Alligator mississippiensis: one gene and its partners. The protein of the gene in region 1 purifies or fractionates together with the protein of each later gene. This does not show direct contact. Links are inferred from orthologs where the notes say so. Each region holds a gene or a part of one and is shown in the gene's direction. Other genes may lie near its edges. The genes, in order: PLK1, PRRC1, MASTL and BORA.

Region 1 (8,144 bases):
CAACAGGTCCAAAATACAGGTGAGATGGTTCCTGGGGTAGCAACCTGCAAAGTCCACGGCCCCCGAATTCCCCTCTGCCCCCACACAGGCACTTATGTGCCCTCTGCTATTGTGTCTCACACGGATCAGGGCACGAGCCAGGACACACTCAGATCCCGGACATGCCACTCCTGGCCAGCTCCCCTGGGAGCCAACACGCCCCACACTCAGCTTTCCCCAGAACTGTAAAGCAGCCTGAGAAACCGGATGAGTCACCTGAGAAACTATTCAAAACAAAGGAGGCAGCAGGGCCGGTGAACTCAAGGAACCCATCCGTAGCGGGGCTACAGAGCCATCCCCGGCCCAGCCAGTCATGACCCTGTCCCACCTGGGCCAGCCCTTTGCTGGCTGAGGGGATGCAACAACCAGGGCTTCTCCTTCCCCAGGGAGGTGGCACGCCAGCGGGCTGACAATAAAGCATCTGCTTACAAACACGTTTCTTGCACCCACCAGGGACACCTCACCCAGGTGAGCACAGGGTCCACAAATCCCTGAGCCAGACACCAGAGCGCCCCAAGGGATGACAAGGTTGAATGGTCACAAACTCCTCTGTGACCAATTCAGGGTGGACATAAGGAAGAACTTCTTTACTGTCCGAGCCACCGAGGTCTGGAGTAGACTGCCGCCGGAGTTGGTGCAAGCACCTACCTTGAACGCTTTCAAGAGACATTTGGACGTCTATCTTGCTGGGATCCTTTGACCCTAGCTGACTTCCTGCCCTTTGGGCGATGGGCTGGACTCAATGATCTTCCAGGGTCCCTTCCAGCCCTAATGTCTATGAAATCTATGACAACAAGCTGACAAACACCTTGTGTTCAGAGCAAGAGAAACTCCAGCAAGAGCCTGGCCCATCCCTGGGCTGCAGCCGACCCCCGGGCAGGCCCTCCCACACACTGTCTGGCAAGGCCATGTGGGCAGGACACCCTGTTCCCATGGCAGATCCGCAAGGGAGCAACACGCAGCCCACTCTGCAGGGCTGGGGTGTGTATTCCTTTAGGGAGGGTGAATACATAACCCCAAGCAGGGAGAGAGAAAGTAGGCCACGCTGCCTCTCACTGCAAACCCAGGGCAGTCTGTGGCCCTGTCTGCAGAGCTGGACCACGGGAGTGACTAGCAGCCTGTTGGCAGGGGCTGCCCTGTCCGGGCCTGAAGGGGCGAAGGCTGGGCAATGCCACACATGAGCTAGGGCAGCATCCATAGCTCCCACGGGGCATCGCACCAGCTCCATCCGGGAGGAGGTTTGCTTTGCTGCCCCTCCAGCCTCCTGCCTGTCCTTCCTCAGCAGTTCTCCACCCAGCGCCTGCTCTGCTCCTTTCCCCTTGCGGGTTGCTCTGTCTCCTCTCCAGCCCCAACCCTCCGCTGCTCTCCCCCAGGCTCAGGTCCTTCCCCTAATGCATGCCAGGGCCCCTCGGGATCTCCGGAAGGGTTTGGAGGGATGAAAAGAGGGAAATCAGGCTGCGGGCTGTCAGGCCCGGGTGCTGCACTGCGCCAGTGCACAGAAACGTCCCGGGGGACAACGGGCGCACAAGGGACGCTCCCTTTCCAAGCCGGGCGGTGGACCCCCGCAGCAGACAGAGCGGGCAGCCCCACGGCCTCTTGCCAGTCACCCCCGCAGCGGGACCAGCCCGCGGAGCCCTGCTTGCGGGCGGCGGGGTCCCCTCCCTCGCCCAGCCCAGCGCCCCTGAGCCGCGCGCGGTGCCAGGCGGGCAGTGCCGTGCCAGGGGGCGGCGGCTGGGACGGGGCGGAGCCGGGCGCGGGGATAAAGCGGCGGCGGCGCCGGGCCGGGGCCGGGGCCGAGCCGGGCTGGAGATGGGGCCGGGCGCGGTGCAGGCGGAGACGAGCGTGCGGCTGGCCGTGCTGGGCGCGGCGGGCGTGGGCAAGACGGCGCTGGTGCGGCGGCTGCTGCGCGGCTCCTTCGAGGCGCGGCACCGGCGCACGGTGGAGGAGCTGCACGTGCTGGAGCTGGAGCCCGAGCCGGGCCGGCGGCTGCGCCTCGAGATCCTGGACACGAGCGGCAGCTACAGCTTCCCGGCCATGCGGCGCCTCTGCCTGAGCCGCGCCGACGCCTTCGTGCTGGTCTACTCGCTGCAGGAGCCCGACAGCTTCGGCGAGGTGCGGCGGCTGCGGGACGAGCTGCTGGCCGCGCGGCGGGACGCGGCGCCCGTGCTCGTCGTGGCCAACAAGAGCGACGCGGAGGCGGAGGAGCTGGCGGCCGAGGCGGGGGCCGCGCTGGCCGCCGCCGTGCAGCGCGACTGGGGCTGGGCGCACGTGCGGGCCTCGGCGCGCCTGGGCCACGGGCTGCGGGAGCTGCTGCGGGAGCTGCTGCGCCACGCGCCGCCGCCCAGCCCCAAGCCCGCGCCGCGCCGCGCGCACAGGGGCCCCGCCTGCGCCCTCTGCTAGCGCCGGCCGGACGGCGGGGGGCCGCCGGCGGCTCCCGGGACTCGCACTCGCACTCGAGCTGGGGTCATCTAGACCCAGCACTCTTTCCTGCCTGTGCAGGGGTCGGACTCGATGATCTATTGAGATCCCTTTAGACCCGAACATCTATGAATCGAGCAGCGCGCGCTCGCCACGGACCTCGCACCGGGGGCGGCGGGGCCGGCCCCGCGCCGGGCAGCGCACAGACTGAGGGGTCGGGAATAAAGTGTTGCACTGAGTCCTGCCTCCGCCCCGTCGTGTCCCCACGCCTGCTCCGGGACCACCGAGTCCAGCCCCGGCCGCCTCGGGGGCGCGGCGTCTCACCCTCGGGGGCGGCTTGGCACTGGACCCTCCCCGCGCGCACACACGCACACACATCATGGGGCAAAGCTGCCCGTGGCACCAAGCGTCCGGACTAGGGGCTGGAGGGGGTTATCGCTCCTGCCCGCCCGCCCGGCCCAGCCGGCCCGGGGCTGCGGGTCTGGGGCTATCGCACCTCCAGCCAAAACAGCCAGCGGCGCGGGCAGAGTCGCTCTCCCAACTCATGCCCCAGGCACAGCCCCAGCCCTAACCCTGCCCCTAACCCTGCCCTGGGCACAGCCCCCGCCCAAGCCCCAGGTACAGCCCCAGCCCTAACCCTGCCCTGGGCACTGACCAGTCCAACCCTAACCCTGCCCTGGGCACAGCCCCCGCCCAAGCCCCAGGTACAGCCCCAGCCCTAACCCTGCCCTGGGCACTGACCAGTCCAACCCTAACCCTGCCCTGGGCACAGCCCCCGCCCAAGCCCCAGGTACAGCCCCAGCCCTAACCCTGCCTTGGGCACTGACCCGCCCAACCCTAACCCTGCCCTGGGCACAGCCCCCGCCCAAGCCCCAGGTACAGCCCCAGCCCTAACCCTGCCTTGGGCACTGACCCGCCCAACCCTAACCCTGCCCTGGGCACAGCCCCCGCCCAAGCCCCAGGTACAGCCCCAGCCCTAACCCTGCCTTGGGCACTGACCCGCCCAACCCTAACCCTGCCCTGGGCACAGCCCCCGCCCAAGCCCCAGGTACAGCCCCAGCCCTAACCCTGCCTTGGGCACTGACCCGCCCAACCCTAACCCTGCCCTGGGCACAGCCCCCGCCCAAGCCCCAGGTACAGCCCCAGCCCTAACCCTGCCTTGGGCACTGACCCGCCCAACCCTAACCCTGCCCTGGGCACAGCCCCCGCCCAAGCCCCAGGTACAGCCCCAGCCCTAACCCTGCCTTGGGCACTGACCAGTCCAACCCTAACCCTGCCCTGGGCACTGACCAGTCCAACCCTAACCCTGCCCTGGGCACAGCCCCCGCCCAAGCCCCAGGTACAGCCCCAGCCCTAACCCTGCCTTGGGCACTGACCCGCCCAACCCTAACCCTGCCCTGGGCACAGCCCCCGCCCAAGCCCCAGGCACGGCCCCAACCCCTGCCCCTGCAGGAGGCTGAGGTTGGTTGCTTATTCCCCGTTTCTCATGGCTGGTTCCTTCTTCAAAGCTAATCTAGACGCAATACAAGTTTGTTATTATTAATTACACATCCATAAAGAGAGGACATTTAGGGGCAGCCCCGCGAGGCCGAGCCGCGCTTTGGGCCAGGCTAGACCCTGGTCGGGGGTGTCTGGGAGAGTCCCCCAGGGGTACAGTCACAGCGTGGGGTGGCCCGAGGAGGATTTCCAGCCGCAATCCCAGCCCGAAACCCGGTTCTTTACCCAATCCAATATACTTAGTTCTCGGCTATGGGGCTGGCAGGGGGCAGGGCCAAGCCGTGCTTTGGGCAGAGCTGTGCTCAGGGTCTTTGGGACAGTGCCTCGGTGGCATGGATGGGAAGTGTGGGGTGGCCCAAGAAGTATTTTGCCCCCTAATCCCATCCTCATCTGGGATGAGGCTCTGTACTTGATACATGATATTATTTTACATATTAATTATGGCTTTTAAGGAGAGGCTAAAGGAACTGGGCTGATTGAGTCTGGGGAAGGGAAGACCGGGGAATTTGATAGCAGCCTTCACCTCCCTGCCGGGGCTGCACAGAGGATGGAGCTGGGCTGGTCTCAGTGGGGCAGATGGCAGGACAAGGAGCAATGGGCTCCAGCTGCAGCGAGGGAGGTTGAGGTTGGATACGAGGAGAGACTCTCCCACTCGGAGGGCGGTGAAGCACTGGAGCGGGTTCCCCAGGGAGGTGGTGGGGTCTCTATCGTCTTTAAGCCCTGGCCGGGGTGATGTAGGTGGGGCTGGTCCTGCTCGGAGCAGGGGCTGGACTAGAGGTGACCGCCTGAGCGCCCTGCCAGCCGGAACTTCCTATAGGCTCAGCTGATGAAAGTCTCTCTCTTGAGGATGTGTCATTCATTAATTTATTGGGTCTAGATTCGTTTAGGAAAAGGAACCGGGACTAAACCTGCAGGGGCAGTGCCCCCGGGACAGGCGCGCACCGCCGCGCCTGTCTCTTTAAAAAGGGGCGGGGCGAGGCGAAGCGCTCCCATGGTGCCTTGCGGCGGGCGGCTTGGATTTTAAATCGTAGCAGCCAATCCGTGCGCGCGGGTTCGTAACGCTCCGGCCCCGGGTTTCAAATCGGTGCCGCCGCTGCCGCCGCCGCGCAGCTCGGGCCGGGGCCGCGGGACGGGGGACGGGGCCGGGGGCAGCGGGGCGGCAGTGGCAGAGGCAGAGGCAGAGGAGGCGCGGAGCAGAGCGGCAGCATGAGCGCGGTGTCCGCCAAGGGGACGCGGCCGCCCGGCGCGGCGGAGCCGGGGAAGGCGGCGGCGGCGGCGGCGGCGGGGCCCGGGGCGGGGGCGGCCGGGGGGCCTGCGGCCGCCGGGGCCAAGGAGATCCCGAAGGTGCTGGCCGACCCGCGGTCGCGGCGCAGCTACGTGCGCGGGCGCTTCCTGGGCAAGGGCGGCTTCGCCAAGTGCTACGAGATCACGGAGCTGGAGAGCAAGGAGGTGTTCGCCGGCAAGATCGTGCCCAAGGCGCTGCTGGCCAAGCCGCACCAGAAGGAGAAGATGTCCATGGAGATCGCCATCCACCGCAGCCTGGCGCACCGCCACGTCGTCGGCTTCCAGGGCTTCTTCGAGGACAGCGACTTCGTCTTCGTCGTGCTCGAGCTCTGCCGCCGCCGGGTCAGCGCGGGCGCGGGCGCGGGCGCGGGGCCCGGCGGGAACCGCCCATGCCGAGCGAGCGTTCCGCGCGGGGGTCTGAACGTTCCGCGCGGGGGTCCGAACGTTCCGCGGGCGAGTCCGAGCGTTCCACGCGGGTGTACGAACGTTCCGCGGGCGAGTCCGAGCGTTCCGCGCGGGTGTACGAACGTTCCGCGGGCCTTAAAGGGGCCGGGGGGAGGCGGGCTGGTAGCTGGTGCTCACGCTCCCCTCCACGCTCCTTCTCCCCCTTGCCCAGTCGCTGCTGGAGCTGCACAAGCGGAGGAAGGCGCTGACGGAGCCCGAGGCGCGGTACTACCTGCGGCAAACCATCCTGGGCTGCCAGTACCTGCACAGCAACCGCGTGATTCACCGCGACCTCAAGTTGGGCAACCTGTTCCTCAATGACGACATGGAGGTGAAAATAGGTACAGGCCTCCCCGCCCTGCGGGGCACGGGTTCTTCCTGGAGCTGTCGGAGCCCTGGGGTCCCTCCCTCCCGTGTCCGTGTGCAGCTGGGGTAAAGGGGTAAATCAGTAGCTTCTGCCACTGTGAAGCGGAACAGCAGCCTCTCACCCCAACCCTGGGCAAGCACGTCCCTCTGTCCAGGAGCAAACTCCACCAGGCACTCGAGATGGGGTCTTGGGAGGGTGTTGCTGCAGGTCCACGCAGGTGGCTCAGCAGGGCACGCCGCGGCCCTCGACATCCACAGGCAACAGCTGAGCCTGAAGTTAAGCCGATGCAAGCAAATTCTCTTCTGTCTGAATCTTTAAGGCGACTTTGGGCTGGCCACCAGGGTAGAGTACGACGGGGAGCGCAAGAAGACCCTGTGTGGTACACCAAACTACATTGCACCCGAAGTGCTGGGCAAGAAGGGGCACAGCTTTGAAGTGGACATCTGGTCCATCGGCTGCATCATGTGAGTTCATAGGATCGTAGGACGTGAGGGTGGGATGGGACCTCGGGAAGTCGCATCTAGTCCAACCCCTGCTCCAAGCAGGACCAGCCCCAGCTGCATCATCCCAGCCAAGGCTTTGTCTAGCTGGTGCTTAAACACTCCCGAGGACGGAGACTGCACCACCTCTCTGGGGAGCCTGTTCCAGCGCTTCACTACAGATTGGGGGTTACCTCTGGGGCATAAGTCCTGCAGCCTCCTGAACTCTCTTGCATGAACCCGTGACAGGCCGCTCTCTCCTCCGTACGCAGGTACACACTGCTAGTGGGGAAGCCGCCATTTGAAACCTCTTGCCTAAAAGAGACGTACATCCGTATCAAGAAGAATGAGTACACCATCCCAAAGGTAGGTGGGGCCTGCTGGAGGGCCCGTGCTCCCTCTCCAGCAGGGATGCCAGGGTGGGGCGCAAGCCAAACTCTCTTGCTTGCTGTGAAATGGTTCCTAGCACCCTGTGCACGCTCCTGGGAGGGGCCCTGGGTCTCTGGCTCCTCCGCTGCTGTCCACCAGGCTAGTCCATCATAGCACTGAGCCTCACAGGAGAGCTAGCTATATCTTGCCATCCTCAGCTCCTCCGGGCTCGTGCCCTGGTCTCTCCATGGCTCTGTTTGGAGCAGGAAAGCCCTGCATGTTGGGGGGTTTGGCCCTTCCACTAGTACAGAAGCACACCGGTCCCTTCCAGCCACAAACTGCCGGTCTCCTCTTTCAGCACATCAACCCGGTAGCTGCTAGCCTCATCCAGAAGATGCTGAGGTCAGACCCTGCCACCCGCCCCACCATTGACGAGTTGCTGAATGACGAGTTCTTCACGTCGGGTTACATCCCCGCCCGCCTGCCCACCACCTGTCTCACTGTCCCGCCGAGGTTTTCCATCACTCCCACTGCCCTCGACGCAAACGGGCGGAAGCCCCTTACTGCACTTAACAAAGGTGGGGCCCTGCATGGCAAAGGAGGGAGTGTTCAGGGCCTAGAAATGCCACGTGCAGGGCAAACGGTGTCTGTCCAGGGCTAAGAGCAAGCTACAGATGACAGCCAGAACCACTGATGAGCTTGCACGGAGGTCTGGGGTTCGTGGCAGTCTGGTGCTGCCCTTCCCTCCACAGGAGCAATAACTGACCCCCTAGCGGAGAGCCCAGCTCCTTGAGCTCTTGTCAGACAGTACCAAGGGGCTCACCCTGCCCCGTGGCACCCCGACAGCATGGGGCAGCCCAGGAGCAGCCCTCCACTCTGCCCTGGCTCCTGACAGTACTGATGCCTGGTTGTTTGGATGCAACTGGCAGCTCTTGTAGCCTCACGGGTCAGTGGTGGCAGCACTGGATCCTCATGTCTCCACGTCTGGAATGCAAGGGAAGGGCTGCCCAGCACCTGTTGCCCGAAGGGGAGACGCGAGCTTCCCTTCCACCGAGGAACCAGCCAGTCTTTCCCTGCCACTGGTAGCAGGGTGCAACTCTGCCATTCGCAAGGCCTGGGTTTTCATGAGGACCCTCCTCAGGTTGAGTTGTGGTAATCTTGGCTCTGGGGAGCAGGCATCACGCTTGGCCAGGATGGTGAGGGGGAGGACTGTCCGTTCTGGAGGAGACGTCTGGTTCTAGCCTCAC
Region 2 (7,493 bases), on another chromosome or scaffold:
CAATGGTACCTGCTAATACCCTTTTGCTAAGTATAAATCTAGCCTGTCCCCCTTTCTCCAACAACTCGCTAATCTGGGGCATGGGAAAGGCATCAAAGCGAGATATAGCATTTACTTTCCTGAAGTCCACACACAGCTGCAACGACCCATTGGGCTTAATCACTGCCATGATGGGGCTGCGCCAAGGACTCCGGGACTCCTGAATGATGCCTTGCTCTAGCATTTTAGTAATTTCCTCACGAATTGCCTGATATCTATAATATGGGATTCTCCTCCATTTTTCTCTCACAATCTGCCCAACAGGAGTTATTATCTAATGGATCATCCCTCTGGCACACCCTGGGATCTCAAAACATTTTGAAATCCCCTTGCCACGTCTCCCACTGATCTTGTTGCCGAGTGCTCAGTTGGGTCCTGACTGGGACCTTTATGGCTGCCGCATCTTGTCCCAGGTCCTCACCTAAGTCCCAATTGAACTCCTCGTCCAGTGAGGAGGAATCAACCAACAAACTCTCTTGTCCCCTCCATTCATTAAGCAAATTAACTTAGTATATCTGCTTTTCCTTTTTATGGCCTGGCTTGAAAACCTCATAATCAACAGGGCCAATCTGCCGAATTACTTCAAAGAGGCCCTGCCAACACCTTAGGAATTTACTTTCCACATCTGGGAGTAACACCAGTACCTTCTGGTCTATTTGAGTATCTCTCTCCTGAGTCCTTTTATCATAGTTGGTCTTTTGAGCCCTCGGCATTGCCCTCAGTTGTTCCCACGACAGTTCTTCCGCCATTTACAGGCGTTGCCTCAGCTCTCTCACATACTCTACATTATTGATGCCCTTTGGTGGGGCTTCCTCCCAAACTTCCTGCACCAAATCTAGCAAGCCCCTTGGGTGGTGTCCATATACCAGATCAAACGGGGCACACCCCAAAGACGACTGAGGGGCCTCTCGTGCCATGAATAACAAAGGCGGGATAGTAAGGTCCCATTTACGGGGCTCTGCCTGAACACACAGGTGCAGCATATTCTTCAGCATCCTGTTAAACCTTTCCACTAGGCCATTGGTTTGAGGATGGTATATGGCTGTATATAACTGCTTACTTTGCAATACCTTACACAGACTCCGAAAGACCCCCGACACTAAATTAGACTCTTGATCAGTAACAGTTTATTTGGGGTTGCCTACCCGGGTAATCCCTTTAAGGAGTTCCTCCGCCACTTGGGGACTGGTGACTCCTTGCATGGGGACTGCCTTTGGGAACTGGGTTGCATAATCTATGATTACCAAAAAAAATTGATACCCTGTTGAATACTTGGGGAGGGGTCCCACCACATCAAGTGCAATATGAGAAAATGGTATGTCTACTATGGGCATAGGTTGCAACTGCACCTGGGCTGGTTTGTTCCAGCTTACCTTTTGACAGGCCAGGCAAGCCTGGCAGAATCTCTCCACCTGGTCATAAATCTTGGGCCAGAAACACCACTTCGTCAGTCGGGCCTTGGTTTTGCTGCATCTCGTATGCCCACCCAGTGGATTTTCATGTGCTAACCTTAGTAGAGGACCCTAAACTGATGCAGTATTAACAGCTGAGGAATCTCCTCCCCCTCTCGTACCCCTTTTTTTTTATCCGATATAGCAACCTTCTCCTAACCTGAATCTCGGCAGGTTCGCATAGTGTCTTGGGTTCACCACATCCTCTTTCTCCTTAACCAATTTAGTCTCTATTATGGCCTGGAATTCATGCTCTTCAGCTTGGGCTCTTCGGAATGCCTTACTGTTGGACAAGCCTTCTACTTCAAAACTCTCAATGGCCGGAGCATCTTCCTTACTTCCGAACGGGTCACCTTCTCCCATCCTGTCTTCTCTTACTATGTGTAATACTTCATAAATTTCCCTCCAGTCTCGACCTAAGATCATCAGGTACTGTAAGTCACGAGCCACTCCAACCGGCATTTCTCTAGTGGTCTTCAACACAGTGACCTGGTAGACCCTCCGAGGATAATATGTGCTGTGCCCATGCATGCACGTCATTCTAACAGGGGTGGCTTTCCGTACATACTCGCCCGGTGTTATTCTCATGTTTTCAAATGGAGAGTGCGGCACCTTAGGTGCTGACTGCATCCTCCGAGCTCTATAGACCCTGTGGGTCTGCTGCTCCATTCCTGGGGACTTCAGTGCAGACTGGCAGCCGAGCAATTGCCCTGTCTGCTGGCCCCGTCTTTTGCTTTTCACCTGCTGTCTCCCTGTCAGCGCATAGTGCTGGAAATAGCTCCTGGAGTCCAGGTAGGGCCAATCCAGCTCACTTGGTGAGTTGGTGAGACTGACCCTGGGCGGATCAGAAGCCCCTTCCTGAGCGTGGCCACGCTGCTACTGCCAGATGCGCCCCTCTGACCGGGGAGTTCCCCTGGACAGGTATCATCAATCTTCCCACACATACCCCATTCTTTTTGGTGGCATATGGAACATCAGTCAATAAGAGTACAAAGTGTTCCCCACTATTCTGAAGCTTAGACATGAGCAAATGACCCCAATGAATTTCTTATATGAAACTCTGGAAGAAGAAAAGAGTTTTGTATTGGTTGGGCAATAGGAAATCTACAATCCAAAATGGAAAAAGTTTGCCCATATGATGTACAATCATACAGGGAAATTCTTAAGACACAGCCTAGTTTTGTTCCTGGTATCTGAAATTGTGTGGTTGATTATACTTGGTTACAAAGACGAAATCCAAAGTTAACCATAAAAAACACCTGAAAAGCTGTTAGACTGGCAAGACTTCAGGTTGTCTGTCCCAGAAACTGATAATATAGCTATAAAAACACAAGCTATTGAGAGAGAGGCATTCTTCATTAGAAGGAAAAGGAGAGTCTGATCCAGTCAATAGACTCCAAAGAAACAATAAAGGCTCTTTAGGGGCCCAATGAAGAGGCCCCTCCTGGACGGCTGAAATTTGGCAGGGAGAGAAAAGTTCCCAGGAGATGTGAATAGCTGTAAAATCTGTTGGGATTCTGGTGTGAAAATGTCTTGATAGAAAAACAGTATATAAATATGTGTAAATAAGTATGTATCAATTGTAATTTGAAAAATAATTCTCTATTTTGAGTGAGTCATAGATGGCTTTGCCATTTTGGAGTTCATTGGTACACAGAGCATAGCTGAGGCAATAGGAAGCTTTTTACAGTGGAAGCTGAGTGGCTCCCAGAAAGTATGGTGTTGAATTATGGGCCATCTCAAACTTCACTGCAGTTGATGGGCATGCTAGTGCTCTTTTATTTACGCTAAATGATGCAACAATTAAATGCTCCTTTGTTTAGTGATAGCAGAAAAATTGAGGCTACTATAGAAGGCTAGACTGAATGCAAATGTAATGGCTACTATTAATTTGGATGCATTTATTTGTCAATATGTGAGTAAAAAGGGAAGCAGACAGAGCAGAAGAAAACCAGGAGAAAGTAGCCTAAAAGCAGGACATAGCAAGAAAAGTACTGGTAGGTATGGGTCTCCTGGAAATGACAAACCAATGCTTTTTGTGCAGTGCCAGCTGGAAAGGCAGGCTTGAAACTACTTCCTGTTTTAATTCTATTGTGTTCAGTGAACCAAGAGATTATATATATGTATATCCTGGGTAAATTAATGGGACTGCTTTAAAGGAATGCTCATCTTTATCATTCATTTCTTCTAACAACCTGCAAGGAATAGCCTTGCATAACTGAACAGGCCAAAGGAGCTAAGTGTAGCAACACTGTATGGCTAATCTGAATAAATGACAGGTATTTTTTATTTTGAAATGCTTTCTTTTCAGGGGATTATAAATTTCTGCAAAAAAAAAAAAAAAATTGGGGGATACATTGTTGTAATGCTTCTTTTCAAACCAAAAGTTAACATCTTTGAAACTCTAGTCAAATTTTAATTGGACTTGAGTTATGAGTTTGCTTTTTTTTTTTTTTGTACTAATAGGAAAAGCTTCTTTTTTAGAAGTTCATGCTCAACAAATGTGTAGTTCTTTTAAAAAGCATGCTTTTTAACACTTTTACTGTTACTGATCATACATTGTAGAGAGGTCGAAATTATTGTACAAATAGGATAACGATCATACACGTATCAACTCTGGTATAGCCTAACCCAACCCTAACGCAGGGGCTCTATGACTAACATCCGCACGGCCCCAAAGGTGACACCCCCGGCACAACTCGCGCATGCGCCGCGGCGCCCTTGAGCTGCTTAGCAGCGGCCTGCAACCGCTCCTACGCCGCCCACTGTGCAGGCGCGGCCGGCCCCAGCTAAGCTCACAGGAGCGTTCTCCTCAGTTCGCGGCCAGGTCACGTGGATCTCTGCCCTTGCTGGGGGCGGGGGCAGGGCCAGTGCGGCTCCTCCCCCTGCCGGGCGAACGTGGCAGGGGGCGGTGGCGTCCCGCCCCCCCGCCGCGGCCATTTTAGATGCGGGCAGGGAGGGCGGACGCCGGCAGCAGCGCAGCCGGAGCCCCGCCAAGCAACCAGCGGCCCGGAGCCGGCGGCGCCCAGGTGATCAGGGTTGTTGGGGCGGGTCGGCGGTGTACATTGCTGGGCTGCGGGACAGATCCCCGCCCCTTCCTCTTGCCAGGCTGGGCACCACCGCGCCGCCAGCCGGAGACGTGGCAGCCCGACCGTCGGCTGCATGGCGCGTGCGCAGCACCCGCGGGCATCATGGGAGTTGTAGTCCGCGCCGGCGGGAGGGGGTGGTCAGCTCAGGCTTCTGCGAATGTTGGTGGCTCCAGCGCGCGTCGTGGCTGACTGCGCATGCCCGAGCTCGAGGACGCCGGCTGCGTTTGCGAGCCCGTGCTGAAACCCCCGGCGTGACGTCATAAGGGGGGGGTCCCTGTGCGCGTGCAGAGCGCCCCCCCGCGTCAACGTTCGAAGGCGGGTGGTTCTTCACAGTTTAGACTCGCGCTCCGCATAGATTAGTGCCTCACCCACGCACCACACCGCACCGGTTTAGTCTGCAGTCGTTTCTTGACCAGGGTGGGAATATTAGAGCCTTTCTTCTGTTGCCAGGCAGTTGGAAAGCCCTCGCAGGACAGCCTTTATTTAGTGCTGGGGCTTATTCTGAAACCTCTGGGTTTATGCGGGGAATTGTTTGCACAGCTCATGGGACTAACGTGGCATCCCCCCGCAGCACCCCTGAAAGGCTGCTGAGGTGCTGCGCATGGAAGTCTTTGGCTTAACACATCAGCCAGGGATGGTTTTGCTCACAAGTCCTGGGATCACGGTCTGGTTAGGTCTGAAGGGACATCACAAGGTCACAACTAGTCCGACCCCTTGGATTAAGTGCATAAACTGCTGCTAATAGGATAGCTGTGGCAGCCCTGGGAGCCAAGTCCTCTCTAAGTACATGATGCCGGCAGCAACTTGAATAGATGCTGCTTGCTTCACTGCCTCTTTTGCAGCATGGTCCCGTGTCTGACTGATCTAGTAGGATCACAGGAGAGGAGGGCTGGAAGGGGTCTCAGGAGGTTGCATGTAGTCCAGCCTCTGCTTGAGGCAGGGTCAATCCCTGACTAAACCACTCTAGCCAAATGTCCATCCAACCCGTTCTTGAAACTTTCCGGTGATGGAGATTACACAGTCTCTAGGCAGCCTGTCCCAATGTTTGACCATCCTTACAGTCAGGAAGTTCCTCTAAATCTCCAACTTAAATTTCCCCTGCTGCAACTTGAGGCCATGGCTCCTAGTTCTGGTCCCCTACAGCTACAGAGGAAAAACCTCTCTCTGTCCTTTTTTATAATCAGGTATTTTGAAGACTTATCAAATACCCACTCAGTTGTCTGTTCTCCAGGCTCAGGAGGCCTGATTCACAGATGCTAGGGTTGGAAGGGACCTCAACAGATCATCGAGTCCGACCTCCTGCCCTGGGCAGGAAAGAGTGCTGGGGTCAGATGACCCCAGCCAGATGCCTATCCAGCCTTCTCTTAAAGACCCCTAAGGTAGGGGAGAGCACCACCTCCCTTGGAAGCCCATTCCAAATATTGGCCACCCTTACCATGAAGAAGTTTTTCCTGATATCTAGCCTAAACCTACTCTCTGTCGGTTTGTGACCATTGTTATTTGGTACCCCAAGAGGTGCCCTGGTGAACAGAGCTCTCCGATCCCTTGCTGCATCCTTCTAATTAATTTGTAGGTGACCACAAGATCACCCCTTGGCCTTCTCTTGTGGAGGCTGAAGAGGCCCAGGTCCCTCGGTCTGTCCTCATAGGGCTTGTCCTGTAAGCCCCTGCCTGTAGAAGTGGCCCTCCTCTGAACCGTCTTGAGTCTGTCAACATTCTTCTTGAAGAAAGGTGCCCAAAACTGGACGCAGTACTCCAAATGCGGTCTGACCAATGTCGCAAAGAGAGGAAGTATCACCTCCTTGGGTCTATTTGTCATGCATCTGCTGATGCACGATAAAGTGTGGTTAGCTTTGGTGATGATTTTGTCATGCTGACGACTCATGTTCATCTTGGAGTTCACTATGACTCCAAGATCCCTTTCCGCTTCTGTGTTTCTGAGAGGGTCACTTCGCAGCTGGTAGGTGTGCTGGATATTTTTGCACCGTGGGTGCAGCACTCTGCACTTTTCCTTGTTGTACTGCATCCTATTGTGTCCTGCCCACTTTTCTAACCTGTCCAGGTCCGTCTGCAATCGTTCCTTACCCTCTGGAGTGTGCATTTCACACCACAATTTAGTATCATCCGCAAACTTGAACAGAGTACACGTCACACCCACATCCAAGTCACTGATGAAGATATTGAAGAGTATAGGTCCAAGGACCGAACCCTGCGGGGACCCCACTACTCGCATCCTTCCAGGTCAATACCGACCCATCTACTACCACTCCCTGGGTGTGGCCGATAAGCCAATTTGCCACCCACTGGACTGTGTAAACATCTATATCACAGCCTCTTAATTTATTTATGAGAATGAGATGAGATACCGTATTGAAGGCTTTGCTAAAATCCAAGAAAATGACATCTACCTCTACTCCTGCATCTAAGCATTTTGTGACCCTGTTATAAAAGGAAACCAGATTGGTCAGGCATGATCTACCTGATACGAATCCATCCTGGTTGCCCTGCTGCATTATTTTTCCCTCTGGACTCCCACAGATATGATCCTTCATAATCTTTTCAAAGACCTTTCCAAGGGTGGAGGTGAGACTAACTGACCTGTAATTACTCGGCTCCTCCTTCCTCCCCTTCTTGAAAATAGGGACCACACTGGCCCTTTTCCAGTCCTCCGGGACCTGACCAGAGCACCACAAGTGCTCAAACAGCCGTGCCAGTGGTTCTGCTATGACACTGGCCAATTCCTTCAGTACCCTCAGGTACAGCTCATCCGGGCTTGCTGACTTGAACACAGCCAGTCCATCCAGGTGACTGCACCAAGTCAGCGTCGACAGTTGTGGGATTCTTTCAGACTTTCCTCAGCAGTCTTGCTTCCCAGGCTTCTAATCGCTTTTGTTGCTCTTTGCTGATCTCTTTCC
Region 3 (7,875 bases), on another chromosome or scaffold:
ATATGGGTTGGTTTGCAACCAATTTATAGCTCTTGGACTAGATTTGGGACTTTTTATTGCAAACCAGGGAAACATCTTATTTACACACGTTTAACAAGGATTATTTTTTCAGTTTCTGATTTTACATTTTAATTATGCTAAACTAGAATAAATTGTATATTTTAACAAGCAGCAATTATTTTTACATGTGATCTGTCTCAAATTGCTGTTCACCTGGAAACTAAAATGTCACACGAGATAACTAAAATACCACTTTTTTTTAAAGATCTGAACTATTTTTTGTCATAATGCAGAGACCTAACTAGAGGTTATGCATGCATAGACAAAGCCCCTCCCCAAACACCCACTCCCCAAACAGTCCCCAAGCCCTGGGCCTCCAACCTGACTGGCTGCATACTAGCCACGTGCATGTGCACATGCAGAAGCACACGTGCCCAACTGCCCCAAGCAGCTCCTTGTAGGCTGGAATGCTGCCAGCCTGCAAGGGGAAACCTATGCTTTCCCTCATTTTTCTGAGACTTGCTCAAGAGCCTTTCAAATATTGTTGCAACTCACTTTTGGGTCGCAACCCACAGGTTGAGAAACACTTGTGTTAGAGGATAGGTACAAACAAAAGGAGTTTCTTTTTAAAACATTGAGTTTTAATTACCCTGGAAGGTGGTTAGAAATGGAAGAAGAAAGATGAATTAGGTAGGAAAACACACTATAAAAATATAGCCTTGGTTTTAAAGGTAAACAAGTTCTCTCACCAACTGACAAAATAATAAGGCATTAAACAAACTAAACACCTATTTAGTCATTCTAGTCAAGCTGTAGTCACTCTCTGATCATTGTGCAAGACAAACTGACACACGGGTGTCAACATATTAACAGGACACAGCGGTGAGTACAGAAGACATTGCTGGTGGGTACATAGCCCTGAATTTCCATAAAGACATGAAAATTGGATTTAGAAATCTAAATTAGGTATTTCTGAAAGTTTTAGTCTCAGTGAGAATCAGCATATTTATAAACCCATATTTTTATCTTAAGTCGTTCCTGAATTTTGTTGGCATGACTGAGAGAGAACAGAAGGAAGGTGTAATAGGCACAATCAGGGTGGTTTCCATGAAATGACCAATCATTATGGACTATTTTTTACGTTCTAATTACCCATCAAGAAGTTTTTCTGTCTATTACTTGTTAAAAGTGCCCACAGAGTTTGGTAAAGATAAACACAGACTTGGCTATGCACAAAAAGGAGCCATAAAAAGAAATACCACTTAAATAAAAAACAATATTTAGTGCAAAAAAAAAAACAAAAAAACACCCACTAGTCAAAACTATTATAAGCATACTAATAATTGGCAAGGAAAGTAAAATCAAGGTTATTACAAACAAGCTTTCTTTTCATCATTTTACAAGGTCATCAAGAAAGTTTGAAATACAGAAGCTAATCCTTCCTCTTAAACTGCCCGAGACACATACTAGTCACTTTGTTGATCTTAACAAGCGAGGACTTTACCTCTTATATCCTGACAACTGCTACGGTACTGTAGTACATCTCTTTTTCACAAAGTTCTATTTGTTCATAATTTATGCTTTTTTTCCTACTGTTTCCAATACCTTCTCAAAATCTAAATTTTAGACTCCTGCTTATGACTTTGTTTACAAGTTAGCATTATTGTCTTAAAGGCTGCGTCAAACCCAGCGTTGTTAAATCAAAGTGAATCATGACAATGCATCACACAGAAAAGGAGGGTTTTAAAAATAAATTTCAATGGCCTTTTATTACCACATACAGAATTTAGAAGATAAGCATATCATCTTATGCACGTTTAAGATGTATCAAATATTACATGCAAGTTACTTGACTTTTTTTTTTTTTAAACTAGTACTTTTCAGACCCAATTCAAACGCAAAAAATGCTGATCTCTACAAAATTCCTATTACCTTACTACTCTGGGCATCATGTTCAGGGGCTGTATCCTTTTGTAGAGAGTGAATAGCTGCTGTGCTGGCAGAAGTGACTGAGCTTTTGGGTGAATGGAAAGCATTGATGAGGTGACTCAGAGGAACAGTAACCTGGAAGAAATTAAAGATTAAATCAATCTAAAATTAAATAATGAAAAATTAAATGTAGAACTTTCACTAAGTCAGGTATCCAGGTTTGTACTTTTACCAAGACACCTAAACGCATTCTCATGACAGACAGTGCACAAGTATAACATTCTATATTTTATATGGTACTTTTCAACTGAAAATCTCAGTGGTTCACTGAGCACAGGGTAAGAAGAGAAGTTGATTTACAGAGGAAGAGAAATAGAATAATAAGTATCCAAAACAGCTTAGCTGCACTAAGTTTGCCAGAGGAAAACAGGATCCAGGTTCCATGACTGGATCCTAAATGATGTAATAACATTCACCAGAACCTCAAATACAGAGTTAAGAGACAAAAGTTCAACTTGCAAACAAAGCAACAGCCTCCATTTGTATTTGAACTAGTCATTAGTTTTCTGAAACAAAATTACTTATTTTTACATAAGTTTTCTCAATTACCATGGAAAATGAAGAAACAATCTATTCTTTGTCTTTAAGCAGTAGCTTTGCCACTTTTCTGATGGTACCAACTTGTTTGTCATATTAGCGATAGCTGATACTACAACACTGACTGTTGTACCATTTGCGTGTTCTTGCAGGTGTAGGCGCAAAGAGCACATCAACATACACATGAATCGCAAGGCAGGAAGAAAACCAAGTCACAGGACTAGTATGTATCTGTTGTGAAAAGTATTAGTCTCAATGCCTTATATAATGAATCCTGTCCTGCTTGGATCCATGCTACAACCTCAAACAACTACCGTATTTTCGCGCATATATCCCGCAGGGTATACACAATTTTACCCCCCCAAAAATGTATGGGTGCGGGTTACTGACAGACTTTTTTTCCCCCACAGGGCCCAGGCAGGCCGGGCTGTGCCACCGCTGCGGGGGCTGGGGCGGGCTGCGCCGCCTTCCCGCTGGGCCCAGGCAGGCCAGGCTGCGCCGCCATGACCGCAGAGGCCCAGGCAGGCCGGGCTGTGCCGCCTCCCTGCTGGGCCCGGGCAGGCCGGGCTGTGCCGCCGCTGCCACGGGGGCCAGGGCCAGGGCCAGGGCAGGCTGAGCTGCGCTGCCTCCCCGTGTATACGCTGCCGCAGGGAATACACAGGTGCAGCGCATACACGGATTAATTTACAAAAATACAATTTTCCGCGGGTTATACGTGGGTGTGACTTATACTCATGGGCAGGCTATATGCTCGAAAATACGGTACTATTCTGCCTAGCGGGCAAGAGATCCAAGATATAATCTGACATGTGCTGCCATGGTTGAGTCCTACTGCAATGGGAAGAAGTTAGCAATATCCTTGAGAAATAGAGACAAACTGTCAGTTAAATCACGCTTCAATTTTTTACCTCTGTTGTGACACCTAAATTACTGTAACTGACATGAAAGAAAGGTATTTTCAGTTTCATTAAACAAAATCCCTGGGGTTAGGAAATTTCCAATCTGAATGTGTCTTGTACACAGCAGTTAGAGAAAAAGTACAGAGGAAGAGGAAATGGAATTCTAAAATGACAAAAAAAAAAGGACCAAGAACCTTAAACATAAAGCAGTAGCAAATTTAGACTTTAACCTGACACTGCCCCTTTAAACAGTTAAGAATTGTGTGTTTAGCTTATTACCCAGATTATATCATGCCAACTGGTTCACGAGAAGAGGTAAATCTAGCAGAAACTAAGAAAGCCATTAGAGAAGCACCAGTTTAGTATAAAGTACTCTTCAGCAGGTCTCAAGCCAGCCAGTTTATTTATAACGCATACATAGCAATTAAGGAATCGGGCCAAGAGCCAGCATACGGTGCTGTTAGCAAAACTAAAACGGCCCAACAACCAGTGTGATGTTGTTATGACTCGGCTCTTACGTAGCAGGAACTAAGGAAAAATGACGCCAGCGTGACGCACTCAGGCAAACATCCCCACGTCGGTGCATTCAAAGCCGAAGTCACTTAGTCGGGGAAGTCAGTGGGCCCAGCAGTAGCCAGGCAAGAAAAAAAAACCCTGGTGCGTCACCCCGCTGGCGGAGCACAGGCCGGGAACGAGACTTGATAAGCAGGGAATGCGGGACCCGACGAAGCCCCACACGCCCCGCCGGGAGGGACCAGACCGCGGTGGAGGGGGAAATAGTGAGAGACAAGTTGCCGCCCCAGCGGCGACGGCGGACAGCCCCCAGGAGCTGCCTCGGTGCCACCCCTAGCAAAAGCCACCCTGAGATGGGAAGGTCCCAGACGCGGCCTCCTCCGCCCTCGGGCGCCGCTCCCGCCCTTCAGCCCCCGGTGACGGCCGCCCAGTTGCTCCCCCGCCGAAGGAACCACCCAGCCCGGGTCACACCTGGGGCTGCACGCTGGTAGACAGGGAAAACATCCTTCTCCCGCCCCGAAGCGCTGAACGTCCGTAGAGAAAATGGCCGCCTCCTGCTACCGACAAAGCCAGGTCCTGCAGCTGCCCTGGAAAATGGGGGAGCAGGAGCCGCTTCCGGGTCGCACATATTCCCCACTTCCGCCCTCCAGCTACTGGGCTCTATAGCAACGACTGTGTGTGACGCAGTTACGTTCCTCTCGCGGGGAGCAAACCATTCTTTGGGCGGGGGGGAGGTTAGGAACAAACCATTCTCCCCACTGCGCCTGAGCGTGTTGCGTACGTCACTCGTGCGGGACGCTGTCACGTGGCCGGGTCTCGGGGGAGGGTTGGGGGAGAATGCGTGGCGGCTGGACACCAGCTTTCGGGCTGGTGCAACTGCCGGCCCCCCTTCCTTCGTCCGCGGAAGCCACACGGTCCCGTATGCAGGCACGCAAAGCCTCGGCCGGTTCCTGTCCTGGGGATGGGGAGGCGTACACGCGCGTGTGAGGAATACAGATAGCAAGGGGCCGTTGGGTCACTCCGGAGGCAGCTGACCGCCACGCGCATGCGCACCACTTTTCCCGTGCTCTTAGGAGTGCTCGCGAGGCTTGGCGGTACTCGGTCTTTCGTGGCCGTTGGTCGATGACGTCAGCGGGGGCGAGGTTTAGCTTTGAATTGGCGCGGGCTGTGGCCGCCAACAGTAGCAGTGGCCGGGCCTGGCCAGGCCATGGACACGCCGGAGGCGCGGGGGGGCGCGAGGAGCATCTCGGTGCCACGACCGCCTTCCATCGAGGACTTCACCATCGTGAAGCCCATCAGCCGCGGCGCCTTCGGGAAGGTGTACCTGGGCCGCAAGGGCGGCCGGCTCTACGCCGTCAAGGTGAGCAGTGGCCGGGCCCGGCCTGGGGCGTCCGTGGGGAGGCCTTGGACACGCTGTTCAGTGTTACAGGTGACGTAACGATCATATTGGTGCCGTCATTTCGACCCCTGCACGGTGCAGTTCAACCTGTACAATCATTTTTGCGGCACCTGCTTGATGCAAGCGCATGCAAGACCCAGGTCACTCTTGGAGAGTCGTAACTGACTTCTGGGTTTGCTTCAGCACTTTCTTATGACAGCTTGCATAAAAACAAAAAATGCTTCAACTTTAACCCAGTTCTTACTCGCTCACTGGCAAGTTATAGCGAGCAATATAAAGTAAATAAGAGGGCTTGTTTGCACAGTTGTTTGCATAACTCTTCGGTGTATTAAGGTTCCCATATTTCCAGGTCCAAAAAAGAGGACACCTGTCGGGGGGGGGGTAGGATGGGGGGTAGGCAGTGACATGCTGGTGCCCTGCCCATTCTGTTGCCCCTCACTGCCGAGCTCCAGCCCCCCAGCCCGGCTGCTGCCTCTTACTCCTGACCCACATTACTCCTGACCCACTGACCCCAGCCCTGCCAGTGCCCCTTACTCCAAAACCACAGTACTTTTCCCCCCCAGGCCATGATAGTGCCCCTCACTCCACTGGTGGGAGCAGGGGCAAGGTGATCGGAGGCAGCAGGTAGCACCACATGAGTCTGCACGTGCCAACACAGCTGCAGGCAGGTACCTTCGTGCCCCTTGCTACCTCCGATCGGCCTTCCCCTGCTCCCACCAGTGGAGCAAAGCAAAACCCCAGACATTTGGTCAAATTTAAAAAACCCACCCACGCAGAGATCAGAAGGCTCAAAAAGAGGACATATCCAGGAAAACCCTGACAGATGGTAATCCTACAGTATATGGTAGTTTTTTCAACAAATACAATAATTTTGAGCTTCCAGTATGATCATTTCATATTTAGGACATGGCAATGCTATGCCCTTTCAGGAACAGTTGCTTCAAGCCAATGAGTGTCCGTCCCCACCCCTGCTGTTGTACAGTACCCTGAGCTTCCTGGAGGCCCTTCCAAGGGTGCCACGGGGGCCACACACTGTTGGCTGGTGTCGTCCTGGCTGTGGGCAGTCCCTGGCTAGGAGGATGCTCTCCTGCAGTTCATGGACTGGTCTTGAGGTGACTTAAGAGTCCAAGCCTTGGGCCACAGCCCCATTCATGGGATTTGCAGGCATTTTGGCAGGGGAGGGGGTGACCAGCCCACCTGGATTCCTATCCTTTTCCTTCCTCCCTTCTCTCATCTGCTTTGTGGGCGAGGCGCTTGGCCTCCCAACCACCTGCCACATGATTGAGGTTGTGGTGTTGGAGCTGGTCAGCAGCCAGCTTCTCCCAGCTCTTGGCATGGGCATCTATTTCCTTGAGGATGCCTTCAGTGTGTCCTCATACCTTTTTCTCTGGCTGCTGTGAGATCTCCAACCGTTGCTGGAACGCTTGTTTTGGGAGTGCAGAAGTTGGGCATCATCTGCGCAGGATGTTGGGGCTTGAGGATCCTCAAGTGCTGTTAACTCTGCCGAGGGTTTACCAGATTCACCAGGTAAACTCAGTGGTTTCATTTTGGAATCCATGGCCTAAAAACATTGGGCTCTGCGCTGCTTCTGAGCTCTTTGCAACAGAGGAATTGTGGGGTTTTTTTGACTAGGGAAAAATAAGAGGAAGTGAAAACAAAGTTGGCATTTTCAGAGGGATGTCTTGAGTTGAACCAGGAGCCCTTTTGGTTTAAAAGGTGGAGAATCACTGATTTAAGTGTCCCCTGTGACAATGAATAGAGCTTTGCTTCTACTTAAAATAAAAGTACAGAGTCAGTTTAAATCATGTTTACATCAGAATAGGTAGTAAAATGAGAACCTCCCATGTTTTTGTTTCTGTATTGCATCTTTATAGTCAGTCATCTAACTGGGCCCTCAGCACAGGTAGGAGAGAGAAACTTTCTCAAAGGGAAGTGTAAATGTGAAGCCACAGTTCAGCTGGGTGTAGGGGTGGTTTTCCTCATTTATACTGATTGGATCTTACATTGACAAGTGCTCCTCTAATCAGCAGACAGGATATGAAGAGTATGATTCTTGCAGTGCTGAGAAATTAGCACGGAACCTTCCAAAATGAAGCTTTTGGAAGAGACCATCTTTGCTGATGGAATATATACAGAGACCAGCATTGTTATCACTGTGTTTAGGTTGTTCATAAATGTAGCAGTGTTCAGCTTTCAATTAAAAAACAAATTGAAAAGTATATAAATGATTATTCAGTGTATGAACACATGACATTTTAATTGGTTTAATTGTGGCTTAAATCTGAAGCAGATGAACATACAAGGCTGTTTAACTGGTTTAGAGCCACCTGGAATGGTTCAAAAATGTAGTTGGAAAATCAAGCATTACTCTGAACTGCTTCACTTTGATTTGGTTCAGTGTTACTTATGAACACCAAGCCTTCCCTGTTTTCTGTCTTGCTGGTCCTCCAGGCATTGCACACTGCATTCCTCCTGTCCAGCAACCCCAGCCCCAATTGCTGCAGTTTGACTGCTCTGATACACCTGTTACCCACTTTT
Region 4 (7,644 bases), on another chromosome or scaffold:
TTTTTAACATCAAGGCATGCATAGTTCAGTGACTCTGCTGGGGTAACACAATTCTCAAAGATTATGGAGGGGTGGCTTGAGGCTAAAAAGGCTGAGATTCACTGCTGTAAACACAGAGCTGCTACACCAGTCTCAACCATGTGCTCCATGCCCCAGGCTAGAGTGGGGATGGAAATGGAAGGTAACTGGCAATGATGGGGAAGGGGCGGGTAGACGTAGCAGCTCTGACACTGACTCTGGGTCAGAGCCACAGCAGCTGCCTGCTAACAACAGCTCCCCACCACCCCAATGCTAAAATCAGAAAAAAAACCCAAAAAACCTTGTCTTGGATTTGAGCAAATCCAGTACTATTCACCTCATCTTTCACTTAAAGAACTGAAGCAAGGCAAAGGATAAATTCTGAAAAGCTGATAAATAATTCAGGAACCTTATTTTAAAACCACTCTAGTGTTCATGACTGAAATTACTGGGAGTTAGGATGATAGGCACGTTTGAAAATTCCTCTTGGTACCTAAATACCTTAAACATCTGGGCCTATTGTAGCCTGTTTCTTTGAAAGTCAACAGAACTAAGGTCTTCACTGCCTAGGTAACTTAAAAAAAATAAAGACAAACAGACTTAGGCACTTTCACAATGTTACCCAAAACAATATGTCAGGGGCACACAAGAGCCACTTACACGAATGAAATTCTACAGGTGTCATAAGTTTTGCCAGCAAAGTTCTCCAAGACCTAGAGTTATCCTTGCAGGAATGCTCAGAACTGTCACAAACATGGCAAAACTGGATAGCCTGGTGATTATCTCCAATTTAAGCATGTCAAGATTCACAAACTTGGGTATTCCTGTGTGCAAGTCCTCTGAGGGGCCTGGATCCTATACATGTGATAGCACTTAATTCAGAAAGCACAGCAGACAGCTACTTAAATTAAAAAGCAGAGCCAGAGGAGGCAGTGTCCACCTTTTATGCAATATCCTAATACAAGGGTGTCCAATTCAAGGCTTCTGGCTGCCCAGACAATCCACCTCTGGCAGAAGGGCAATGGCTTGTTACAGCTCGGGAACCCAGAAGGTGAATTCTGCTGTTGCTCACCTTCCCTGCACTGCCCTCCATTTTCTCTCTGCCATGAACCTCAGTTGCCAATGGTAACCCAGAATTCCCTAGCAGACAAAGATGTGTGCAGGGAGCAGGCAAGGGCTGAGTGGTGGTAATCTCTGACTTCCAGAACCACGTTGACAGTGCCGCTGGAACCCAGCTCAGGAAAGTGGTACTTCAATTTATGATTTGTTCTTACTCAGTAAGTGTCTTTGGTTTCTTGAGAACAGTAAAACATTAAAATAGAAGTTGAATCAGATAACCATTGAATCAAGAACCAATGAATAGAAACTGGAAGTATAATAAAATGTTAGGTTGGAAATTTAGAGGAAAATCTCCAACCATGAAAACTAAATAGCTCTGGAACAGCCTTCCAACAGCAGTAATGGGTATGAAGTTCTTACTAGGTTTAAAATGGAGCTTAGGCAGTTTATGAAAGTGACTGTATGACATCATCAATTTTGATATTAGGGCATGGAACATGATCAACCCTTCTAGACCTATGTTCCCAACTAGTGTTTGAAACCCTCTGTTGCCACCCATTCATTCAAGTAAATGTGAAGTGTTGCTTCTTATTCCCCTCAAACAAGAAATTTAACTCTTAAACTAATTAACAAGTTTGAAGGAAAGAATATTTAGCAATCTCTCTCTCATATTTTATACCACCATTGTGAGCTCTTCCCTAAACTATTGTTTACAAAGGTCTTTTCAATAGGCCTATCCAGTTTCCATATGTGAAAATTACTAATGGACACAGTTGATGAACCTAAAAATTCTTCAGCCATTTTCCTGTAACTCTTACTGCTGACAGGAAAAAAAAAACAACATCAGAGCAACACTAACATCTATTTTTACTCAATTTTTTTAAAGTACCTTCAGGTTCCATTATTATTGTATCTAATTATCCCACTATTTCACTATGTCTAGAGAGAGATTAGAAGAATTCTCTAGACAAAGACTGGGTACTGAAGGGTGAACCTCATTCTGCCCCATTTGTGCCTGGTCACAAAAATAAAAGAAAAAAACCGACTTGTAACTAACTGAAATGGGCACAATAAAGTTGTGCTGCAAAAAACAAAATAGGACCCGATTCTGAAAAACAAAATAGTTATAAAGAGACAATATCTCAAGCTCACCCAGCATACTTGATTTGATCAAGCTACAGAAAATCACTACCTTGATTACATAGTGGAAAGAGCTTATTTACATTGTTTAACAGAACAATGAACAGAAAAATTCAGGGTCTGGACTCCAGGAATACTCAGATTAGTGTAAATGTAGTTTGAATCTGAGACAGACAGGTGTACAGGCCTGTTATAACAGTATAAGGCTGCCTGGAACAGGTCAAAAGTGGTGCTTGATTTTCCAGGTACCTTTTGAACCAGTTCACTGTGATATTAGATGTGGATACAAAATGTTCCATGACACCAGTTTGGTCAGTCCTCCATTAACTCCTCATTGCATCAACCTCTTTCTCCCAAACTCTATTACCTCTGACATGTCTCCCCTTGTGTTGGCATTTTCATCACTGAGCTCTTTTGCACTGCTCGTTCAACCAAAGCTATCCAACAACCAGCTGAATCTGCACTCCCTACTCCACTGTGGCCCCTCATTATACTTCCCCAGGCCCTAGGAAGTCAAAAGTGCAAATCTAAGCACTTTCCCCCCCTCCATTCCCCCAGACCACCCCAAATGAGGCAAGCCCATGGCAGACTTTGCACCACTGCACTTGGGTTTACAGAAGGGAAAGCAGAAAAGGCAAATGCCCCTAGCCACAAGTCCCTCACCATTTGGACCCTGAAGAAAAAAGTCCAGATATAGTGGGCTCATTCCTGCCTCCTGGTGATGGAGTCACAGCACTTCATAAGACCTGTCAGTTACTGGGTCAATTACATACTTCCATCTTACCCGGCATCCATCTGCCTGACCAGGAAGAAGGTTCTGGCCCAGAGGACCCCCAGTGATTGCAAGGTCATCCTCCTGCCTCTCATCCACCTTGTTCAAGGGCCAGTGGGCACTGTCCAGTGTCCTGTGCTCACAGCCCCCTCTTGGTGCATTTGTTGTGAACAGAGATCCTGGTTTTCTCCGATTAAAAAAATTCTCAATTTTCAGTTTAAGACAAAAGTAACCCAAAATCCACATTTTTCCACAATTAAAATGAAGCGCCACTAATATCTAGTGGATTTGGTCAAGCTACAGATACATATCTATATATTAGTGGCTTTTCATTTTAACCACAGGAACATGTGGATTTTGAGTTACTGCTTTAATCTGAAAATTAGATTTTATACTTTTTAAATCAGAGAAAACCAGGATCCCTAGCTATGACCCTCTGACCTTCACTTCCATTCCCGCTTTGTAATTAGCTGGTACCTACCTAATACCCCTCTTGCGTTAGCAGTGGCTAACCCTTGCTCCAGGACTCAAGGCCTAGGACACCACCGTGGGTGTCCAATAGGCTTGTTTCATCCACGTCAGCCTCTGGGCAGTGCTGCGGGCTCACTCCATGGGATCACACGGGGGCCAAGGGGCCCCTTGGAGAACTCGTTACTGGCCTCTGCCCTTCCCTCCTACCCCCATCAGTGTTTTGGAAATCTGTCGCTGAACACTAAACTGCTCCTGGGCATCTAACGGCGGGGCTGTTCTCGTCTTGACCCGTGCTCGTATTTCTTTCGCACAAATCAAGCACGGGAGGAAAGTCTGCAGGCCCACCGCGCGGGGAGGGAGAGCGCGGGGGGGAAACCAGGGCGGCGCTCGTTTCCTCGGGGGAAGGAACAGAGCTGCTCCTCCTGCTGCCGCAAACCCCTGCTGAGGCCGGTCCAGCTCCGGACGCTTCGGACGCCAAATACGAGTGGATCCAACGGGCGCCGCAGCGAGCGCCCGCGCCCAACTCACCGTCCATGGTCTCCCGCACAGCGTTCAAGTTGGCCGCGTTACTCGCCATGGTGACAGACAGCGTGCGCCTAACCCGCCACCCGGAAGCACAAACCCGGAAGCGGAAGCCCCTCTTAACAGGGAAATACATAAAACATACATTCAATTGTATATATTTATTCATATAATATATATTATATTTTCTATGAAAATATATTATATTTCCTTGTTAGGAGGAAAAGATAAAATATAATTTATTTTTATATAAAACAACAAAACTAAAAAAACCCCAAAACAAAACAACTCTCCCCCCCCAAAAATCCCACCTCTCGCCGGCGCATGCAGTTACACCTCAGGAGCTATTTCCGTCCCTGCCCGGCCCGCTATGATGTTTCAAATACACCCCACCTACTCCTCCGTGAGGAGGGTTACTCGTTCGAATTTGTGAAGCGAGCCCTGCGCCGATTGGGCTGTTTGAGAGCGGTTGCCACGCGATTGGTCAGGCAGGTGAGGCGGCGCTCGATGATTGGGTAGCGGCGGAGCGTGGGGGCCGGGCCAGTTAAAGAGCTGCCTGGGGTCAGGCAGAGGCGGTTTCACAGGGATCCGCGGGCGGAGGCAGGTATCGCTCAATTTTTGGGTCATCTTTTTTTTCCCTCTCCCTCTACACAGGCCTTCCTGGGCTAGTGCGGGCTAGAGCCCCCATCCCCCCTAGGCTGATTATTTCCTTGGGGGGGGGGGGGGATATTGTCTTTGCGCATGCACAGAGCGGGCCGGGATTAGGAGAGAATCGGGGTTCTGAGAGGTGCTGACCCTACGACCGCGCATGCGCAGAACAGGCCAGAAGTGGCGCATCGAGGGGCTCTGCGGATGCAAAGCTGGAGGAAGGAAAGAGCCTCGGGGTCCCTCGTCCCTTCTCCCTCCCTCCCCCTCCTTTCCTCCCCCACTGCCCCTCCAGGTTTGGTTGCATATTTCACTTAATTTCCTAAAAATAAAGTTTCAGTGGCAATAGTGTGGCTTTTTTTTAGCCTGCCACAGGCCCTGTGCATCATGTGTCACTTGACTTTCTTGGCCAGCTTGAAGGGAGAAGAAAAAGTTCTTACTTTCCGGGATAAGCATACAACTAAGGCAGTGCTGGGGCCATGTGCCCAGTCCAGATATTTCTCATCTGCCCAATCTGGTGTGGTGGGTTAAAGGGCACTCATTGGATTCAACCCCTGTCTGTGGTAACGGGGCTAAAGCTGCTCTCTAATCCTGTGTGCTGGCTCCAGTCGATGCTAGGGCTGTGTCATCTGGCTTGGGACTCTAGTTAATGCAGCCACTGCTTTCCCCCACAAAATTTCCAGACCTGGGGGAATCGGTATCAAGGGCTGGGCGGGGCTTCAACTGACAAGAGTGCACAAAGCTAGTCAAACACAGCGTGGAGCGGAGGAGGGTTGTTACAGGGTCTGAGGTACCCCAATGGTCGCAGCAGCCTCTGGACTGACTTGTCTTGAGGATCAGTATTTATTGCATATAATGCACATCCCATTTTCCCTGAACTCATTTTTGTGGGTGGGAGGGGGGTGGAGGATGCAGGTTTTATCCAAGAAAAGGTTCTGTCTTCTCTGGGAGAAGCATGGTTTTGAGTGGTACCTGTATACCGTTATGCTTTCCATATACAGCCTTTCAGTAAAGAGGTTTCTTCAGACACTTGAGGCCAGATGCTGTTCCGTCTGTTTCAACAGTCCCTAGGCGTGGTTCTCTTCCACTGTGAAAGCCCCAGGAAAACTTAAAACCGTATTGGATCCTTCTCCACCTCCTTGTTGCTACTTTTTTGTGATGGAGTCTTAAGGTTAAGATCAGTGCAGTTACAAAGCAAGATGTATGGGTTTGGATGATTGGCCAGGAATTCAAACTGGGTGGAATAGGATCACGCTTAGGGTATGAACAGGCATCTTGTATGTCCTGGGACCAATTGTGCAGGTAATTGTCCTGGAACAGAAAAGTCATGTGATAGCCGTGTACATGTTGCCCTTCCAGTTGGAGTTTAGTTAGTGGCTGAACGCATGGCTGCTTTTCTGGCATTGATCCAGTGATGCAATCCCCACATGTCTGTTGAGATGCTCTTCAAAATATCCTGGGGCATATTTAGCTATCTTATCTAGTAAACCTTTTTTGGGGTCTGTACTGGGTCAATGAAAATGGCATCTGAATGATGGATTCACTGAGGTTCACCTTCAAATTAAAACCAGGTATAGAAACCAGGTATAGAGTCATTATCCTGTGATAATTACAGTGTACTTGTAGCTGGCCTAAATTTATTGAGCAGTTAACCAGTTAATTGCATGATAACTACCTTGCACATGTAGCTGGTCTACACTTATTGCACAATTAACCAGTTAGTTGCATAACATATGTCTCATGTAGCAGGGGCCTAATTCTCTTTCTCTGATTTATCTGAAACCGATCAGAAAACTGACCAAATTTAAACTTCTTGTACTCTCTTCAGTCTGACTAGATTTTGAATTGCTAATGTTTCTCGAAACGATCGTTTCTTACTGCAAAACCATGGGGTACTGAATGATCTAAAATTATAACTTCTTATTTTCCTTCTAGGTATTGTACTGTGTTATGGGTGATAGAAAAGAAGCTAAAATGCATATAACACCGGAAACTCCAGGACGGGTTGCTGTTCTGAACCCTTTTGAAAGTCCAAGTGATTACCATAGTCTGCAGGAACACGTGGTTTCCAGTCCTTCTGTCTTTAAATCAACGAAAGCCTCATCGGTAAGATTTAATCCTTAGTACATGAATATGGAAGAAATAGCAATACTTCCACATACACATTTTTCACACTTCGTAAAGTACACATGATTTGTAATACAACTTGAAATATTTTTACAAGAATTTAAACATAGTTCCTTCTGTGGAAACTTACAGTATTACTATGGTTGGTTTGTTTGTAGTGCTGTGTAACTGTTTTGAAAGTCTTGATGTTACTGCAGTTTTAGTGATTTTAAGAAAACCCAGCTAGTTGTACATGACACTATTCTAATAGTATTGTTGAGTTAAAGATGAACAATACTGGTTAGCTAGGTTTTCTTTAGAGAAATGCTGTCTGCAGTAACACTTGTTCCAACATTTTGATTCAAGTAGGCTGGGTGTAAGTTTAAACTCAATAGTCATAATGCCCCCTACTCCATGCTTTATCTGGCCTTGTTTAAGGCTTGAACTCTCTTCTATACAGTGGCCTAGTTTCAACACGGAGGATGGGAAGTGTCTCTACCACAGAACATGCAGAGTCCAGTGGTTACCTGAATAACTCCATAGGGAGGTAGTTGATGTAGGTTTGAATCTGGGTCTCTGGTGAGGTCTGTAGCTACTGGGCTATCACATAAGATGGACACCACTAGCACCTTCTTTCCCTTTTTAAAAAGAAAGCAGCCATAACTGCATTTTTGTATGAATGAAGCCTTGTATACGGATGCATGTTAGGTGTGCTCTGAAGACACAGTTCATGTCTATCAGGGGACTTAGGTAGGGGACTTTCTAGGTTTTGAATTTTAGCTGGTCTTTGGTATGATTTTGGCCCTAGTTGTTCAGACAGGAATCATCTTGTGCCACATGTGGAGATGTAGCTCTAGGTGACATACTTCTTGACTTTAAAATTTTCTAGGCACCAATGACTTCAGGCTCCT

What was found.
Region 2: the proteins of PLK1 (region 1) and PRRC1 purify together in Homo sapiens (affinity purification with mass spectrometry; 3 studies listed by BioGRID and IntAct, counting the BioPlex papers as one, with this or other methods). This does not show direct contact. The link is inferred for Alligator mississippiensis from reciprocal best matches to the Homo sapiens genes PLK1 and PRRC1.
Region 3: the proteins of PLK1 (region 1) and MASTL purify together in Homo sapiens (affinity purification with mass spectrometry; 3 studies listed by BioGRID and IntAct, with this or other methods). This does not show direct contact. The link is inferred for Alligator mississippiensis from reciprocal best matches to the Homo sapiens genes PLK1 and MASTL.
Region 4: the proteins of PLK1 (region 1) and BORA purify together in Homo sapiens (affinity purification with mass spectrometry; 12 studies listed by BioGRID and IntAct, counting the BioPlex papers as one, with this or other methods). This does not show direct contact. The link is inferred for Alligator mississippiensis from reciprocal best matches to the Homo sapiens genes PLK1 and BORA.

Annotation. Positions count from the first base shown.
Region 1 is NC_081836.1:58,695,416-58,703,559, forward strand, and holds the start of PLK1 (serine/threonine-protein kinase PLK1), read left to right. Parts: upstream 1-5,047; 5' UTR 5,048-5,160; coding exon 5,161-5,580; intron 5,581-5,854; coding exon 5,855-6,023; intron 6,024-6,368; coding exon 6,369-6,513; intron 6,514-6,800; coding exon 6,801-6,894; intron 6,895-7,255; coding exon 7,256-7,475; intron 7,476-8,144. Other genes in the region: ras-related protein Rap-2a-like, read left to right, coding at 1,849-2,439. UniProt on the Homo sapiens protein: Serine/threonine-protein kinase that performs several important functions throughout M phase of the cell cycle, including the regulation of centrosome maturation and spindle assembly, the removal of cohesins from chromosome arms, the inactivation of anaphase-promoting complex/cyclosome (APC/C) inhibitors, and the regulation of mitotic exit and cytokinesis.
Region 2 is NC_081826.1:216,292,773-216,300,265, reverse strand, and holds the start of PRRC1 (protein PRRC1), read left to right. Parts: upstream 1-4,409; 5' UTR 4,410-4,519; intron 4,520-7,493. UniProt on the Homo sapiens protein: May act as a regulator of the protein kinase A (PKA) activity during embryonic development.
Region 3 is NC_081828.1:189,513,352-189,521,226, reverse strand, and holds the start of MASTL (serine/threonine-protein kinase greatwall), read left to right. Parts: upstream 1-4,738; 5' UTR 4,739-5,145; coding exon 5,146-5,298; intron 5,299-7,875. Other genes in the region: ATP-dependent zinc metalloprotease YME1L1, read right to left, coding at 1,933-2,064, 4,410-4,442. UniProt on the Homo sapiens protein: Serine/threonine kinase that plays a key role in M phase by acting as a regulator of mitosis entry and maintenance.
Region 4 is NC_081824.1:390,151,403-390,159,046, reverse strand, and holds the start of BORA (protein aurora borealis), read left to right. Parts: upstream 1-4,508; 5' UTR 4,509-4,586; intron 4,587-6,562; 5' UTR 6,563-6,577; coding exon 6,578-6,733; intron 6,734-7,644. Other genes in the region: MZT1 (mitotic-spindle organizing protein 1), read right to left, coding at 3,989-4,037. UniProt on the Homo sapiens protein: Required for the activation of AURKA at the onset of mitosis.